Linked DNA regions of Neurospora crassa OR74A. The protein of the gene in region 1 interacts with the protein of each later gene in a pairwise test. Links are inferred from orthologs where the notes say so. Each region holds a gene or a part of one and is shown on either strand. Other genes may lie near its edges.

Region 1 (4,268 bases):
ATAAGTGAACTTGAGTGCGACGCCAAAATCGTTCCTCGACTTCTCAACGTCCGAGAGAAGTTCGTTCTTGGGGCCCATTGCTGCAAGCAGCCGCTTCTCGTCAATGAAGGGAATCTTGACAACGGCTTCCCAATCCATCTTCTTGCCATTCATGTCAAGCTCAAAGTCTCTTGGGTAGAAGTCGATGATGGGAGAATTGGGGTTTGTCATAAGATCCCAATATGCTGTCGGCACGATCTTTTTGCTGCGGTCTGGCAAGACACCCATCAGCTGCTCGTATGGCTTGAACGGCTGACCCATCTTGAAATTAAGGTCGGCTTTCAGGCCTTTCATGACATCGGAAATCAGGGGAGCGTAGTGGTAGCGATAGAACCAGGGCCAAGAAGCAATACCACGGTAGTAGTAGTAGAGCACCCATTGAAGACCCTGGACGTAATTCTCCGTCAACTTGCGGAGTTCGTCCTCCTTGTTCTCTGGGGTCCAATCCTCAAACTTCTCGGCATAGTACTTGTCTTTCCACTCTTGGAACTTTTGCTGGTATTTAACCTCCATGGCAGCCTTCGAGTCGGCCGCAGTTAAATCCAGGACTTGGGCGTTGTCGTACTTCTTGATGATACGGAGAACGGCTGACTGGGCTTCCTCGTCCTCTTCCGACTCGTCGTCTCTCTCGGGGAAGGACAGGATTAGGTGGCGGTGTCCCTCGTCATCTTCCTTAGTTGCCCAAGGAATGTGAGCAGTATCAGCCAAGTCTTGGACAAACTTGCGGTCCTCGGCCTTCAACTCGGTACCGAGGTCAAGCGTATTAGTGCTCCTATTCATAAGGAATTTCCTGATCTTCTGCTTCCAGAGATTCTTCTGGTTCGTGGTGACGATGAGCTTGCCCTTGGTCTTTGCCTTTGCTGTCTCTGCCTCGTTATCTTCAAGCATCTTCTTGGCCCGAAGCCAGCTTTGATCCTCATGTTCATGTTCGAAAAAGCGATACTCCTCCTTGCCGAGTTCTTCCAGAAGCAGGCCGAGTCTCTGGAGGTTGACCTTACCGCCCTCGTTGATATATCCGTCGCCGCGCGGAAGAATTTCTTTGTAGATCCTAAACATGAGCGAAAGAGCGCCTTCATTGATGTGAAGCCGCGGAAGGTTGGGAAGGAAGTCGTTTCCGACAAAGAATGCCATAAGAATGAAGTCGTCAATAACTTTTTCCATATCGAATGGAAAAGACATGGCTCCAGGTTTCTTGAGATCCTGGAACTCCAGCTCCAGGTACTCGCGGACTATGCAGAGATGCATCAAATAGAAGTTTTGCTCCTCCAGTCCCTTTGCCTTATGCTTAGACGGGCCGCGGCCAAAGGTAACTTCCTCGCGCAGAAGGCAGAAGTGAGGGTCATGGCTGAGGAGGCCAAGCATGATCAGATCGGCGTCGAGGCCATACAAACAGTGACGGACGTTCGCGTCATAGTCGAGTTGAGCGCGCGCATTGCGGATGTACTCCATGATCTTGTGCTCACCCTCACCAGGGACCTCGTGTCCAGACAAGACAATCTCGGGCTGTTGCCAGTCCCTGTCTTCCGAGACCTTTTTATGGATGAAATATCTCAGCTGTTGCGAGAGCTTGGCCATGAATTCGGTTCCTATGCAGCTAGTTAGCCTCCGGGGAAAACATTCAAGCGGGCACCAGCGCCAGACATACCAGGTGTGATGCAGTTACTGTCGAAAGGTTCTTCTTTGGGCAATTCCTTGCCCTCACGAATCGCCTTATCTCTAGCCTTCTCATTGTCCAGCGCGGTACGAAAACGACGAGCACGCTGTTGGTTCATCTTTGCGCGAGGGGCAACGCCATCTATAGCCATAAAGAAAAGCTTTTTGGGCTTGATTTTCCCGAAGAGATGTTCGATGTAGTTGAATATAGCAATGAACATCTCCTCCTCTGTCATGCGAAATTGTACATCGCTCGTGTCCTTATGGGTACAGTTGTGGATGATACCGTTCATGTCCAACTGAGCAAACCGGTTAGCTAGGCAAGTAACGCAAGACAGCCATCAGGCCTCGGGAGGGAGCAGCGAACATAAAGGCAGTCGAACTCGGGGATACGGTTCTCGGCGATGAGCTGAGAAATGGCGGGATACCGCTCCGAGAGCCATCTGAAGAACTTGGGAACACTGGACAAGAGGGGGTATTAGCCACACGCCTGAACAACGCGCGCGTATACGGCGAGGGAGGAGCTTTGATGTGGGAGTCATATACCCCATGTTGACTAAGTGGCCTGTGGTGCCGGACTAGATGTGTACACTACTAGAAGTTTGCGAAGGAGGTCTGAAATTGGGGCGCGCTGAGCGGTCGCAGGAGATGTCGCAGACGGGGAGTCTACTTAGTTACTGCTGTCAGGGGGCGAAGGAGAGGCGTCAAGCTGGTCGTTCAAATGCCGGCACTGAATAATAATGGCCGGGTTTCTAGATAGCGAAGCCTCCAGGGATCGCAATGGTGCAATAAACCGAGGGGGGACGAAGCAGCAAGGTCCAAGACTGAAGATGCTGTCTATGGAAGGGAAGAAGAGGAGTGTCCTTGGAGCAACCGACAGCGCCAATCGGGAAAAGAAGCTACTATAGTGCTAAGAAAAGCGGAAAGGTTGAGAATCCGAGGAGTGGCCTAGGACGTTGGCGGCCTATGTTCGAGATAGACGGAGGTAAAGGAAGAAGTGGGTGATGTCTACGAGATGGAACCGCAAGAGAAACAAAAGTGGAAGGTCCGTCAGAGGTGTGGATGGGACGGAGAAGGTGTCGGGTCCTGGGCTCCGGGCTGGCTAGGTGTTCAGGCTGTGACACACTGCAGTTTCTAGTTGGCCTCCGTTGCCCCACGCGGGTTGACTGTGTGCCTGGGGGCGGCGTGAGCGTCGGTCGTAGAGGTAGAGGTACCTCTAGAGCTAGGTACTAGCGCTCGGCCCGGCCAGGCCAGGCCAGTAGTGAGCGCTCCGCCACCTCATCAGGCTCCCGGCTGTCACTGTCAGCTCTCTCCCCGCACCAGCTACTACTGAACCTCAAGGTAACGAACCTCAAGCGAGCCTCCGCCCTCGACGAGCGGAACGGAACTGCCCTGGAGGGAATGGGGGGTCTGACAAAAGTGGGCGTAGCAGGCCTTTATAGTATAAAACGCTTGAGCAGGGGTTGTGGGCTACAACATCCTTACACAATATTGTTTCTTACTGTAATCTACTAGATAATTGAATATTGTTGTATTGAAGTTGGTTTTATTTTACAATACGTAGTTTTAATTAATAGTACAACGACTATTAACGCGGTATTGTATACAAAACGGAATTAACCGTTCAACAGCGCACAAAAGTACGACAACAGCGAACTGTACCACAACAATACGACCCGAACTACAAAATATACAACATAATAAATATACTCACTTAAATTGCTAATTGCAAGCTAATATTCTTATTAATATAATAATTGTTTAATTATATTTATTTATTCAACAATTAATATCTATTCTAAGTAACAAAAGCCTTACAATTATTTCACAGCAATTTTCAATCAATATTACACTTATATTGATAGAGGTAGGTAGTAGGGGAGAAAGCGCTATATTAAATTACTTATCTAAGCTACCTAAGTGGCGGGTATTCTTTATAGAAGTAATTCCTATTATTCCCTTTCTAATAATTGTAAATTAAAACTCTAACCTAGGTATATAAGAAAATTAGAGTACGGGTACCGTATAGGTAGCCAATAAGAATATTCACCTCAGGCTACCCCAAATACGCCTCCTTTAGGACTATTTCGATATAATAGTATAAAATATATATTCCTTAATATAAATATAACAATAAGAAAGTATAACGAAAAAAAAATAAAAAACTTTAATTCCGGCTCTAAATAAAGACAACACATGAAACTAGTTGTAAATAATAACCTAAGGATAATAATATAAAAAAAGAAAAAAAAAAAAAAGAAAAAAAAAATAACCTAAGGAAGATCGAGGGGTACTATAGCCCAATACGCATATAATTACAAGCTTTACTTATACTAACCATTAGCAACGAACATCCTCTGGAACTATTCCTCCCTAGAGAGATAAAACTTATCGAGGTATTCTATTGGGAATTCGAACCCAGGCGAAGGCATTCTATACTAGCCACAACTATCTTTTAAAGTCCAATTTCTAACCTCTTTAATATTCTTCATCGGGTTTAAGGAAGTATTAACAAAATATCAATCTAGAATCCGTAGTTCGTAGAGGCCGTTAAAATTATCTATATTAACCCTATA
Region 2 (3,002 bases), about 1.1 Mb from region 1:
TTCGAAGTAAGTGGGTGGGTGGGTGCATTGACCGCCACGCCAAAGACAAGACAACAGCTGTCCTGGGGACACGCTCTTTCAAGTCCGGCTAATTGAGCCGGTTCCTTATGTTGTGACCACCCCCATATAAAAAGTTGACGAAGAAAAAATCACAATAATTCACCGAAGAGGAGGATGATGCAAGCAGCATATGTGGCTGCATGAGATGGGATGAGATGGGATGGATGATACAAAGGTCAAAGAGGAAGCAAAACAGAGATACCAATTGGCTAGTAAAGAGAGAGAGAAAGAGGGAGAGAGAAACGTAAAGCAGGTACGAAAACAAGAGTACATAAGCTTCTAGAGTAAAGAATCACTTGTAGTAATATACATAATACCACGTTCTTGGAAAGAACAAAAATCGTCAGCTCATGATAGAGGGTTTTCAGTCTTCACAATGGTTGGGCAACTCGGTCAACAACCGTCATACACAACATTCACCCATCTTCGTGTCACGGAGAAAATTACTAAAACCAGCGGGAAACGAAGTTCAAATAAGCTATCTGAATAAGTAGGTAGGTACCCATGATACGTTTCCAGATTCCCAGTGTAAGTATATGTGAATAGCTATGACCGTTCACACCTACTCCTCTTGCGTTACCCTCTCTCTATCTGATAATTTCCAACGCTGTTTCTTTCTTTTTCTCTTGCCTTTCTTTTTTTTTGATTTTCTTGTTTTTCCTTTCTTGTCCATGTTGAGACTCCTCCCATCTCTCTTTTCTGTTTGAAAACTATCTCTACCCCATCTCTGGTCATAAAATAATGAGTGACTTTGGTTAGGAAGTCCAGAGGGACGAATATCAACTAACTATCAAACGCAGTGCTCACTGGATTTGTCCAGGCTTATCAACCGACAACTTCTCTTTTAAGGAGGGTATGGGATTGAGTGAGCCTGGACGAGTGAGCCTGGACGAGTGAGTCCCAGTGAAGCACGCTTGAAAACGAAGTGAAAAAAGACTAACTCAGGCTGGCTGGTGGTACGTGAAAGCTTAAGACTGGATGGAGTGAGCGTATCGGTGTAAACCAACCACTCTCTGCGTTGATTGACTTGCAGGCTTTGCCGTTTCATTCGGTCATCATTCTACCACGAAAGAAGATATCCAACTCTCCACCTGCCCGGAAGCAACAGATCGAGTGGTGACTTCTTCCTGGGTAGATCGCATTTGACCAGGCGCTTCCGCAACCATGCAAATTCGACCGCCAGCTAACCCAACGTTTTTCCCCCAATACCAAGTGTGGGTCGACCTCATCCGGCTCCGTACATCCGAACGATGACAAAACCCTCCTTGGATACCCGTCCGTTGCTTGAGTCCGTATGCACGTCTGATTTGATGTGCAACCTTAGACGAAGGTGTGTGAAGATGCCTTGTTCCCGTATGCTTGGGGTTCAGCTTGCACGAGACTATTGCGCAGAGGGTATGTAGGCTGATCATCCACACCTTGAAGAAGCCTATGTGAAGGATTGGCTTTCAGAGAGCAGCAACAACTCCTTGCAGCTTCAGTTGGGCGAATCCAAGCTGGAGAAGGGTAAGTTGTCTTCTGCCCGCCAGCCCGAAGGCTATCGGTAGCGTGTCAACAGAATAAGTCTGTCGTGCTCACCAAGTGACACATAATAGGTCCATATGCTATACCGCCGTTTAGGTTCAAGAGAACTATAAGCATTGTGTCGTGCGCTTCCACGAGAGGAAGAGGGAGACCAACAACGCCTAGGATCTAATGGCTCAATCGAAACCTGTCCCGATCTGACTGGCAAAAGCAGTGCTGACGCTCTTCTCGTCGTCATCGTAACGGCGGTATCCGTTGCCGACTCCCATACGACCATTGCTTTCGACATACTGCTTAAGGCGATCGCTCTGGCTGTAAGAAGTAGGGCGGGCTGATCCGATGGCCTCGCTAAGGCCAGCACCGAGACTCGCGCCGCCCTGTCCGATACCCTTGCCGCCGATGACACTGGAAGTGGCATCAGTGAACTCGCTGTTGGCGACGCTCTCGCCTGCGATGCTCTCTGTCGCACGACCACGGCCCTTGGCGCCTGGGCGTCCGTTGGGACCAGCACACGGCAAACCAGCCCACGCCTCAGGGTGGAAGTTCGAGAACATGGCAGGGTAACCAGAGCTCAAAGCAGCACCTCCCAGGGCGGAGCTGTGGATGGAGGAGACATCATCCGGGATGTACGAGACCATAGAACCAGTCTCATAATCCCTGACGGAGCCGGCAGTCAAGGGAGCAGCGAACCGGCCATTAGAGGGACCGCTGGCAACATGTTGAGTGTGGCTGCGTTGCGGCCGGTAGGCCTGGCGAGGTCTGCCAAACTGCAAGAGGGAAGGCTGGAGGTTTGTGAGGGGACCTTCGACGAGACACTTCTTGTCTTTGAAGTGGACGAGAAGGTGGTGCCAGAGCTCATGCTTGCAGAGAACCTTGGGGTTACCAATAATCACCAGACCGTACTTGGCACGGGTGAGGGCGACATTGAGACGACGGGGATCCGAAAGGAAACCGATGCCTTGGTTCTCGTTGGAGCGAACGCAGGACAGCACAATGAAATCCTTCTCTCGACCCTGGAAGGCATCAACGGAAGCGACTTCAACTTCCCTGTAGGATTCCTTCTTGAACGTGCCAGTGTTCTGCATGGTATTGACAATGTAGCTGCGCTGACCCTCGTACGGCGTAATGACACCGATGTCAGCAGGCTTGACACCAGCCTTGAAGAAGCGTGTGACAATCTTCTCGACATTGGCAGCCTCAGTCCGGTTGAGGTACGATGTGCCCGAGGCCGATATTTCCTCGTTGCCCAAGTTGGACCAGAACATCATGGGAGTCTCAGGGACCGGCCAGGGAAAATCAACATCCTTGCGAAGTCTCTCGGCGGCAGTGACGCCGTTTTGCAACGATCCTTCGTAAAACATATTGGAGGGGAACTCAGAGAGGCAAGGATGCATACGATACTGGACCTTCAAGCGAAT

What was found.
Region 2: the proteins of NCU06678 (region 1) and prd-6 interact in a two-hybrid assay, tested with the Saccharomyces cerevisiae proteins (2 studies listed by BioGRID, with this or other methods). The link is inferred for Neurospora crassa OR74A from reciprocal best matches to the Saccharomyces cerevisiae genes XRN1 and NAM7.

The regions. Positions count from the first base shown.
Region 1 is NC_026505.1:4,232,165-4,236,432, forward strand, and holds the start of NCU06678 (exonuclease Kem1), read right to left. Parts: upstream 2,809-4,268; 5' UTR 2,244-2,808; coding exon 2,239-2,243; intron 2,154-2,238; coding exon 2,060-2,153; intron 1,992-2,059; coding exon 1,685-1,991; intron 1,626-1,684; coding exon 1-1,625. UniProt on the Saccharomyces cerevisiae protein: Multifunctional protein that exhibits several independent functions at different levels of the cellular processes. 5'-3' exonuclease component of the nonsense-mediated mRNA decay (NMD) which is a highly conserved mRNA degradation pathway, an RNA surveillance system whose role is to identify and rid cells of mRNA with premature termination codons and thus prevents accumulation of potentially harmful truncated proteins.
Region 2 is NC_026505.1:5,327,024-5,330,025, forward strand, and holds the end of prd-6 (ATP-dependent helicase NAM7), read right to left. Parts: coding exon 1,761-3,002; 3' UTR 514-1,760; downstream 1-513. UniProt on the Saccharomyces cerevisiae protein: RNA-dependent helicase required for nonsense-mediated decay (NMD) of aberrant mRNAs containing premature stop codons and modulates the expression level of normal mRNAs. Also capable of unwinding double-stranded DNA and translocating on single-stranded DNA.